Linked DNA regions of Tribolium castaneum. The protein of the gene in region 2 interacts with the protein of the main gene of each other region in a pairwise test. Links are inferred from orthologs where the notes say so. Each region holds a gene or a part of one and is shown on either strand. Other genes may lie near its edges.

Region 1 (2,833 bases), on a different chromosome or scaffold from region 2:
AGAACTTAATACGTATGGCGGCATTGTAGACGTATAATTTGGAGGAGTTTGCGTGCCGTCTGTAGGTGTACTTATGTAATAAGGGCCATCGAAGAGCACAAAGGAGTGCCTTGTTCCTGACCACGATCCGTGAGAATCTCATCGAATTGATAATTAAAATGCAGAATGCACTCATTGACAAATACGGAGCTAACGTGGGCGTGACTTTGTGAAAAGTTGAACGACCATTATCACACTTACCAGGAAGATTATATTGAAGAAGTTTAACACGTTTTTGACAACGTTCAAGCCGCAGCACTCTCTGCTGCCCATTTCGACGGCCGCTTAGTGCCTTTCTGCCCCCATCTGTGAAAAATATTTTGGTTATTTTTAGGATTGTTTGGGTCGTTAAATTTTATAGCTAATCCTGCTTGAAATAGCATGAATGAGCGTCGGGTCAATTTCTAATTCCTGATATGGTCAAAGCCGGTCGATTTTATTGATGTTACAGAAGCGTCCTTTCCGTTTGCCTTAAGTGGTTTAAGGTCACGATTTCCAATTGACGGAGAGTAATGATCTTTTGTCTCGGGAGGAGAATAAAACCAGCGTTCGTGTAAGCACATTTATTACATCTGACTTAACAAAATATATAGAAATATACAATTACATTTCATGTACAAAATATGTCTCGGTGATTCTATTAAATAAAAATTAATGTAAACGTTGGAATTTCCATAATATACACAGCACGTAAGGATAAACATATAACAGATTATATAATAAAAAGTTAAATCACAATTGTTTTGGCTTGGAAATAAACACGATAGATGATAACAAGGCAAGAAAAACTACTCAAACTTCCTCAAGGTGTCTTCCAATCTGCTCACTACATTTTTGTAATAGTTGACCTGTTCTTGCAAAAACGACCGCATGGCTGACCGAAATTCGGTGTTCATCTCAGCCTGGAAATGGTCGAGTTCGGCGAAAACCGAGTAAGTCAGAACATCGGTGCGCTTCCTAACTTCAGTGATTTGCTGGTGTGAGAACTGCGTGTTCCTTTCACACTCCTTCTTCTTTTGTTCGGCGTGTTTTTGCATCGAGAAAATATCGGGGTACGAACTCGTGATCCCCCTGTAGAGGTACAACTTATCGGTTAGCGGCTGCCAATCGATTTTCGCCTGATCTTCGCACAACTTGGCGATTTCAATATAAGTGGTCCCAATTTTCTTCACATCTGAAACAACCAGATTATTCCAAGTCTCCAATCACCTGCAGGTACCTGTGGCCAAATCCGAGAACAATCCACCTTCCCTGTGCTCGAACGCGACCCCGAGCTGGAAAAAGCTCTCGCCAATTTTCGTATGTTCTCTTTTATACAAATTCTCGCATTTTTTCTGCTGATCGGACGCCGTCTGCATCAAGCCCTTGATGCACTGGTCCATTTGGTTAATGTACGATATGCTACTCTCAATTTTACTTTCAATAGTCGACGCTAACAAGTCCTTATCTGGGGCCTCGATGCACAGGCAAAAGTTCGCCCCGACTAACTGGTCTTTCTCCGCTTTTCTCTTGCCTTCCTTCCACTGTTTTTCGTTAGTGCAGGTGAGAAAATGCCTCCAAACGTCGCAAGTCGACAGAACTGGATGTCGACACACGTAATTGACAAACTCCTGCAGCTGCACTCTCCGGTGCTCGATGAAATGCTCCTCATACCGGCCCGAAATCTGTTTATCCGGTAGCGGAGGAATTGCGATTATGTTGAACTTTTCGGAGAGGCGGTCGTGCAGCCAGTCGAAGTGTTTGTAACGGCGGGATACTTCGATTCCGGTGAACGATGGTGTTAATTGATATGCGATGAATGATTTGAGGCCGCCCATTTTTGACGCTTTTTTTGGTGAGGTCACTTGGACCGTGTACGGGTCCGAGATCAGTTCCCATCGGAACACGTTGTCGTTTTCTCGAAATATTCGAATTTTTGTGTGGGATGGGATGTCTTTTAACGTGCCTGAAAAGCGATTGATCGATGAGGGCGATGCGCGCCTCCGGTTGTTGTTTTTTTCAGATTGTACGCATTATCTCATTTAATTAGCATTTATTGATTGTTTATTGGAACAATCAAGGGAGTAAAGATCGAAATATTAAATTCAAATTTTATCAGTATTAATTATTTCTATTGTTTCGTTGATAATAAACAAGGAGTGGAATCCAACATTGTTTAAAAAATGTATTGTGACTTCGTCAATATTTGTAAAATCGATTATTTTTTTTACTTTTAAGTAGTTACGAAAGACGTCTTTTTTCAGTTGGGTATAGTTTGTATTTTTTTTATTGTAACCAAGATCTCATCCAGGTCTAGGAATTACAAACCAAATACATACGAAATATAATGTAATAAACAATATTAAAAAAACAAAATATCTCGAAACTTACGCAAACGATAGCGTAGAATTTTTATGCTTAAATGTCATGTAATGTTTATTTTTTATTAATTTAATTTAGGGTCGGTTTCCCGAATTAATTTATAAAACTCAAAATTTGACGACTTTTTATTTGTAATTCAGTTATGAAAAATAGATACGGGTAATAATAATCGATCTTTTAACGTGTCGGCGCAACATAAATAATTTATAAAATTAATTTCTCAAACAGATACGTTAGCAATTACTGATCTCTAGCGCCATTTTTTAAAATACTTTTAGAACAATAGAACATTTAAGCATCGTATTTTTCAGAATGACATAAGAAATATTTTCTTGTGCATACATTTATTATGCTAATAAATTCATTAAATAATTTTGGTTATAAGAAATTATAGAAAAATTTTGAAAAAAGTCAGAGACTTATTAAAATGAAT
Region 2 (3,629 bases):
GTGATTCTATTATCTTATACATAATTTCAGTTTTATAATTTCTTAATGTTTCTTATTTTGCAGTTTTATACTTTTTCATTTCTCACTCTTTCTAGTTCTACAGAACTGGAATTTTAATTTCACTGGTTTTTAGTTTTTTTGTATTTCATCTTTTCAGTTTCTAAGTTTTTCAGCTTTTCAATTAGTTTTTCACTTATTCACTTATTCTTCAGAATTTCAGTCTCAGTTCATTTTATCTTTTTAGTTTCGAAGCGTTAAAGTTTCTTAGAATGTCAGTGTTTGAATTTTTTATTTTTCTACTTTTCAGTTGGAAATACTGGTCGTATTATTTTTTAATGTTGCACTGCCTTTTATTACTAAAGATTCATGAGCCGTTGCAAAAGCATAGCATTACGAGTATTTTAGTCAAGCCATTTTGAAATGTTATTTACTTTCTCACTTTAAAATTTTAGTTTATGCTATTTATAAAATAGCAAAAAAAACCTGTAACTTGTTGAAGCCATTGAACACGTGAAAAAAGTACTTCAGGAGTGGAAAAATTAGTTAGTGACAAATTGTATAAAATAATTATGGATATAAAAATCTAACCAAAAATAGAAATATTAATTGAATAAAAAATAATCGTAATACACAGGTGCGTGATTTTAGTAATATATATTTCTAGCGGTAATTCCATACAATGAATTCATTTTTTAGGTAGAGATGAATTCTTACAGAAAAAAGGACAGATTTTACAACAGCAAATTTAGAACAATATTTAAGATCAACGTTTAGTTAACTTCTCCTTAGCTTTTTTGTGCAATTTTAAGTGTTTTACGTATTTCGGAATGGAATTTATTGCAATAAAAATTATGTCCCTGCTGTAGGAATTAATATAAAATGTGTCTTAAGTCACCAGATTTTAATACTTAATTTCTGTTTTTTTCCAACTTTTTTGACACTTAAATAAAGTTTCTAATCTTCTAAAAATAAACTTATAAAACTCTGGCGGAACATTTTTTATTATCATTATTTATTATCTTTATTATTTTATTATAAGTAGGTGCTTTAGTCTCCTCTAAACTAAAGACTAATACATAGTCAGAGGTAAAATTAGTGCATTTTATCGACAATCAAATTAAAAGAAAAAGTAAAATTCGGTGAGGAATTCCCTAACTTTTATCATGACTCAATTAATTTAAAATTCCTCAGGGAATCTTATGTTCAACTAGCTTGAACGTTTAAGGTCTTAGTGGCTGTAGAGAAACAGTTTTGCTGACTTTTTACAAATTTCTTACACTTTTTTTGATACGGGATAGTGCGTAAATTGATAAAAGCATAAATTTTGTTTTTATTCCTAGGAAGTTTTTTCAGTAAATTGTTATACACCAAAGTTGGCTACAAAATACCCAACCACTCATATTTTAAAAATTATAATTTTATGTTCAAATTCGTTAACTAAACGTATAAAATAGTACTTATTTGGTCTTATTTTATAAAAAGACACAGTTTTTAATACAACATTTTACTCTAATTCTTTTTCAGCTTGTCGATTACATTTTTCACAAACTATAGTTGTTTTGCCAATTTTTCGTTTTTCTTAAAGAGACGTTTTAAAATTATCAACAAAAAAATTATTTGTGGCTACTTTTTACCCAACATTTGTCTTCGTAGTGTTAATATATTTTTCGACTGCATCACCTTCATCCCTTACTCTTGAGAATTTATTGAAATTTAATTGTTTTTAATTCTTTGACTAAACATTTTTAAGCTTTTCCATAACATTTCGATTTAAAGACTATAACGATAACGGAACTGGGCCGTTTTATTTGTATGTCGTGTCGTAGTTCGGGCTATAGAGGTTCAACTGTACTTACATTCGTTTCACTATCCCTGATGAGAAAATCCCCATCGTGTCCTCTCTGATTCAGGAGATTATCACACATATACCTCGTGATACTCCCATAATACCACGGCTTGTCCACCAGATGGGGTTTATCGCCCATTGCCACTTGCGACCTCTCCATCGGCTCCTGTTTTCGGTCGAGAAACGGCTGAGTCAAATACTCGGACAACTCCTGCAGGTAATTCCTCGGCACCAAGCCGACCTGTCCTTGCGCATTCCTCGCTTTGTACCATTCGGGATCACTCGGAGGCCGATCTAAAATCTCCAATCGGTCGCCCTTTTCAAAAGACAACTCCTGGTCGTTTGTCGACGAGAACGAATACAACGCCACGACGATATCTAGCACGTTTTCTGCCATCGCGTACGTGTGAAGGGTATCGTCGGCGTCGCCCTCCTCCTGGGTGTAGTTCGAAGGGAACCAGCCGGCGACGTTCCCGCTCTGACCTCGCCACCAGCCGTCGTTGCTCTTCTCCAAGATGAGAATTCGGGAACCTTTGACGAGGGAAAGTTCGTCGGGTTGTTGGGCTTGATAATTGTACTTGACGACGGCGGTGCCGATGGCTTCGGAGGGATCGGCGGCTTGACGACGCGCCATACTGGGGGATTCCACCGTCCGGGAGGGAGAGTTATTCGAAGGGAGGGTTTTAGAGCCGGCGCCCTTTTTTACCTGCCGACGGAACCAAATTTATTTAAACGGAAGCAAGGCGCAAATGAAATTACAAATAGCGGCTTGGAGAAATCACTTAGGATGTGCTCAAAAATGCCGAGAAAAACGCCATTTATCGGTTAAATTATAAATAAATGAAAATATAACTCAAGAATTCGGAACAAATGATCGCTTATGGCATCTTATCAAAAGTGAGCATGACGTCTGTTCATAATTAAGCAATTTTTAAGTCAATGTGGTGGTCCAGGCACTCGTGAAAAAACATCTTGTATTCAACACGTACACAAAATAACTAAACTAAACTAAATATTTCCTCAAATATTTCGTTTTTTTTAACAAATATCTTTTGTTTTAAGTTCAAATAATAGACAATTAATGAAACTGAGGCTTAAATATGCTACTTTGGCTTTATTTAACGCAGAAATTAATTAATAAATTAATACAAAAAATTGCACAAAAATTCAAATAACTGAATAGCCTTTATAAATTTTATAAAAAAAATAATATTTTATATTTTCACCTTATGACTCCACAATTAAAATTTTACCGACTTCATGGAATCTTATCAAAACAAACTATATAGCTATTAGCTGTTTCAAAATTATAAAAACGCCAACGTCGCATTGTTATAAATTATTTATGCACTTAAACTTAAAAAAATTAATAGTTAATGTAATTTATAATTTCGATGAGAAATTTATAATTTCATTAATAACTATTTTATATTTTTATCAATCTTATTTAAAAAAATATTCTTTAAAATGCGACACTCGCGTTTTTATAGTTTTGAAACAGCTGATAATATCTAAGAAATATCTAAGCTAATACCTATTTCCTCGAATATTGATGTTTCAAATATTTCTTCTTGTTTAGTTAAAAAAGTGAATGACTATTCGTAATAAAACTGAGATTTAAGCATGATATTTTCGCTTTATTTTAACGCAGCCTCTTCTCAAATTAATGCAAGAAATTGCACAAAATGCAAGTTTAAATTTATTACTAATTCGGATGTTCTGCCCTACGTGTAGGTTAATTTTTAAATGGAATTATTACTTTCGTTTCATTTTTTACTATGTG
Region 3 (3,660 bases), on a different chromosome or scaffold from region 2:
GCAAAATTTCTTAAAAAGTAAGCCAATAATTCACAGAATTATGTCAAAAATGACATTACTCTTTCAAGTTTTGAGGATTTAAACACGTTTTTAGATGAAAAACCAAGTTTTTCTTCCATTTTTTTTATTAAACTAGAACAAAAAATCGCCAAATTTGGTCGAAAATCATCAAAAATTTACATTTATTCAGCAAAAACTCTACTATGCGCAAAATGTCTTAAAAAGTAAGCCAATAAATAGCCGAATTATACCAAAAACGCCATTGTTTTTTCAAATTCTGAAGATTTAAACACGTTTTTATACAAAATCAAGTTTTTGTTCCTGTTTTTATTAAACTAGATTTATTAATTATTTGGTTCCATGTAAAATTTTTTTGTCAACGGTTTTGCTACTCTTGGAGTGTTGAGTAAGCAAGAAGTAAGTCTAGATGACAGTGGAAAAGCGTTCATAAAGTGACCGTTAATTTTTGATTTGTTGTTTACGGACGGGTACCTTTATTTGGAGTTTATTTGTGTAGTGTTATTTATTCTGATGCTTTTCTCAAGGAAGTCGCTGAGAGCCATGTAATGGGTCTGTTACTAGGCTCCGTTAATATGTAACTAGATTTACATTACACACTGTTACTTTAACTTATTATTGAATAAACTAATGTTTTCCCCATGATAAACTGTTTTATTATACCCTCCTATTTTGAATCCTCACACACGCGTATTATAATGATCTGGTGAAAAGGCAAATGTTGATCTTTCGTATCACCACAAATCTCTGCTAAAATAACGCTGTTGCCTCTGTCTTACAAACCGAATTGGCACGAAACCACACATCGTTCCAACTAAGTCACTGACCTGTTATACGCCTTGGCGTAGACCTGGTACCGCGTCCCACACAGCAACTTCTCCAAAGTGTACTTTTCGACAGTTGGTCCAATCTGGACCGTCTCCCAATCGCCAAACTCTGGCTTGTAGTGAATAGTGTATCCATGGATCGGCTCAACATCCGACTCATGCGGCTTTAACTTAAACGTGAGCGAATTTGTGGTAGTTGAAGTGAGAGCAATTTGTGGTGCGTGTGGAGGAGCATTGACAATCAACTGGTGAGTCACCGAGTCCTGTCCATAGTCATTCTCAACGTGACACGAGTACTCCCCTGCGTTATTCCGACTGACATCACGAATAAACAGTGACCCGTCTGGTTGTTGCCTGATTTTGTCGCTTGTGGTGAACTGAACCCCCTTGATTTTCCATGTGATGACCGGTGGTGGCAACCCAACGGCGAGGCAAGGGAGAGTCACGTCTTCCTTGTACGTCGTGGTGAAGGTATCGTCAAACGAGGCGATTTTGGCTGGAACTGACCAAACATTCCTTTGGTGCTTAAACCACTAGAAAAAATTACCGCTCGCGCTTGGAGACACTGTAACTTTCTTCGACGGTTGCCCTTCTCCAATAGTGGTAGCTGCGGTAACCCAAAACTCGTATTTCAAGTTACTGTCAAGGTTTTTCGCTTGGTGGCTCAAATTCTGGTTGCGCAAGTTTGGTACGATTTTTTGAGACGTTGGCTTGACCTCGGTTTTGTCATCGGTTGAGACCGGTTTGTAGTAAACCGTGTAGTACTCGACAATGCCATTTGGTTCAACTGGGGGCTTCCAACTGGCCAAAATCGAATCAGTTGACATTACTAGAGCCTTAACGGCGATTGGAGCCTCCGGCACTGCAATTACAAAATTAGGCAAACTTTCACTAAAAACCGATAAGTACCGTCTTGTTCAGTCTGGCAGTGAATCGGGGTTGTGCGAACACCGTCACCCCCGGAAGTGTAAGCCAGGACTTCCATGCTGTAGTTGGTGTATTTTTTGAGGCCGTGGAGGATCGTTTCACTAGCAGCGGTAATTTTGGTGTCTTTGGTGTTCTCATCTGGAAAAATGTATGAGCGACATAGATTTTTTTCCAACATGACTTACCAAACCAAGTGTCTGATGGTCCATAGATGACTTTGTAGCCCTTAATAACCCCGTTGGCGGCCGTGAGGGGCGGCGACACCCACGAAACGCGAATCGTTTGGGCCGTCAAGGTGGTGCAAGTGGCCTTATCTGGGGGTTGTTCAGGTACTCCCTCAGCCGTATACGCCTTGATATCATCAGACAAGGGACCAGCTCCCACTTTATTAAACGCTTGGACCACCACAGAGTACTGGGTGTAGGTCTTCAAGTTCGATATTTTCAAATGGTGCTCCTTGCCCTCCTCACGTCCGAATTCGACGGTTTCGAAAAGGTACGGCTTGTCTGAATTAGCCAAGCGGTAACCAACATAATAGCCCAAAATATCGCCGTTCCACTCCTCTCGAGCTGGAGGCTTCCAGTAGACGACCAATGAATGCTGGTCGTTTGTTTCAACTCGGATACTGGTTGGTGGCCCCCCGGGTACCTCCTCTGCCGTGATTATGGTCACAGTCTCAGAGGGTTCACTTGACCCAATCTCATTTTCTGCGACTATGCGGATGTGATACGTGGTGGCAGGTCGCAGAGTGAAAACCCCAGCTTCAGTTTGGTCACCTGGGACTAGTACCCGTTCGGTGTTTCCCTCCCAACTGACTTTGCTTTGCTTGTACTCGATCATGTAACGAGTGATCGGGGAGTTGCCATCGAATGGTGCAACCCATGACAATTGGACGCTTCGGCCCGACTTGTCCAATACTTTCAGCCCGTATGGTACCTCTGGTACTTCTTGCACAATCATGTTAATGCTGGTATCGTCACTGCCGAAGGCGTTGGTAGCTACACAAGTAAAGAGAGCGGAGTCGGAGCGTTCTGTGCGTTTGATACTGAGGCCGGAAAGAACACCATTGGCGAGGATCTCCTCCCGGATCGTGTATCTATTGTCGCCTTTTGGTTCCAAACGCTTATTGTTGATATTCCATAAAATACCAATCGGTTTTTCGCCTTTGGCCTCACATTGGAGGACGGCAGGGTCTCCACGGCGGGAGGTTTGGTTCCTGAGTTTAATATCAAACTGTGGGGGAGCTACAAGCAACAGTTAATTTTTCCCCATTACAATATTGTGTCCAGTACCTTGAACACTGATTTGAATAACTGCAGATAATCCTGATCCAATCCCATTGACAGCCTCACATAAATAATAACCCTCGTTTGTTTTCTGGATATTGTTAATAGTAAGAGTGCCGTCTTCGACTTTAATATCGGGATTGTTTGGTTTGAAATCTTTGTAATCGCCGGGTGAAACCCCTAGAATTGAGAATTTGTAATTGAGAATTTCTATTGAGTGGAGGGACTAACCAGTAGCCCTTTTCCATGTCACTACAGGCCTGGGGAACCCGTCGGCTTTACATTCAACAGCGGCATCAGAGCCTTGAGCAAATGCTTTGTCTGTTGGCTCTAATATCCACCTCGGTGGCACTAAAAATTGCGTTCGGTCAGTCAAAATGCATTTTGAACTTGCAAATGACATGCAATTAATTTTGAGTGCCGAAATTGAGCTTCTGGCATGCATTAATAATTTTGTTGGCCGAAAATATTAAAGGACTGATTTTTTCAAAACTGAAATTTTATTATTCGAAAAAATCAGTACCTTCTATCTTCTGCACGAAGGAACTAATAATATTGTATTTGAACTTTCCTAATATTATTTCACTCCTTACGTGCCAGTT

What was found. The genes of interacting proteins can lie anywhere in the genome.
Region 1: the proteins of dock (region 2) and SH3PX1 interact in a two-hybrid assay, tested with the Drosophila melanogaster proteins (2 studies listed by BioGRID). The link is inferred for Tribolium castaneum from reciprocal best matches to the Drosophila melanogaster genes dock and SH3PX1.
Region 3: the proteins of dock (region 2) and Dscam1 interact in a two-hybrid assay, tested with the Drosophila melanogaster proteins (3 studies listed by BioGRID). The link is inferred for Tribolium castaneum from reciprocal best matches to the Drosophila melanogaster genes dock and Dscam1.

The regions. Positions count from the first base shown.
Region 1 is NC_087402.1:7,277,822-7,280,654, reverse strand, and holds the end of SH3PX1 (sorting nexin lst-4), read right to left. Parts: intron 1,985-2,833; coding exon 1,259-1,984; intron 1,214-1,258; coding exon 828-1,213; 3' UTR 588-827; downstream 1-587. Other genes in the region: CD151 antigen, read right to left, coding at 241-312.
Region 2 is NC_087398.1:11,595,774-11,599,402, reverse strand, and holds part of dock (SH2/SH3 adapter protein dreadlocks), read right to left. Parts: intron 2,553-3,629; coding exon 1,857-2,552; intron 1-1,856. UniProt on the Drosophila melanogaster protein: Adapter protein that links cell surface receptor tyrosine phosphorylation to downstream signaling pathways and effectors, many of which are involved in regulation of the actin cytoskeleton.
Region 3 is NC_087395.1:21,566,277-21,569,936, reverse strand, and holds part of Dscam1 (Down syndrome cell adhesion molecule precursor), read right to left. Parts: intron 3,410-3,660; coding exon 3,290-3,409; intron 3,239-3,289; coding exon 3,065-3,238; intron 3,017-3,064; coding exon 1,958-3,016; intron 1,911-1,957; coding exon 1,755-1,910; intron 1,708-1,754; coding exon 1,393-1,707; intron 1,348-1,392; coding exon 846-1,347; intron 1-845. UniProt on the Drosophila melanogaster protein: Cell surface receptor involved in guidance and targeting of growing nerve axons.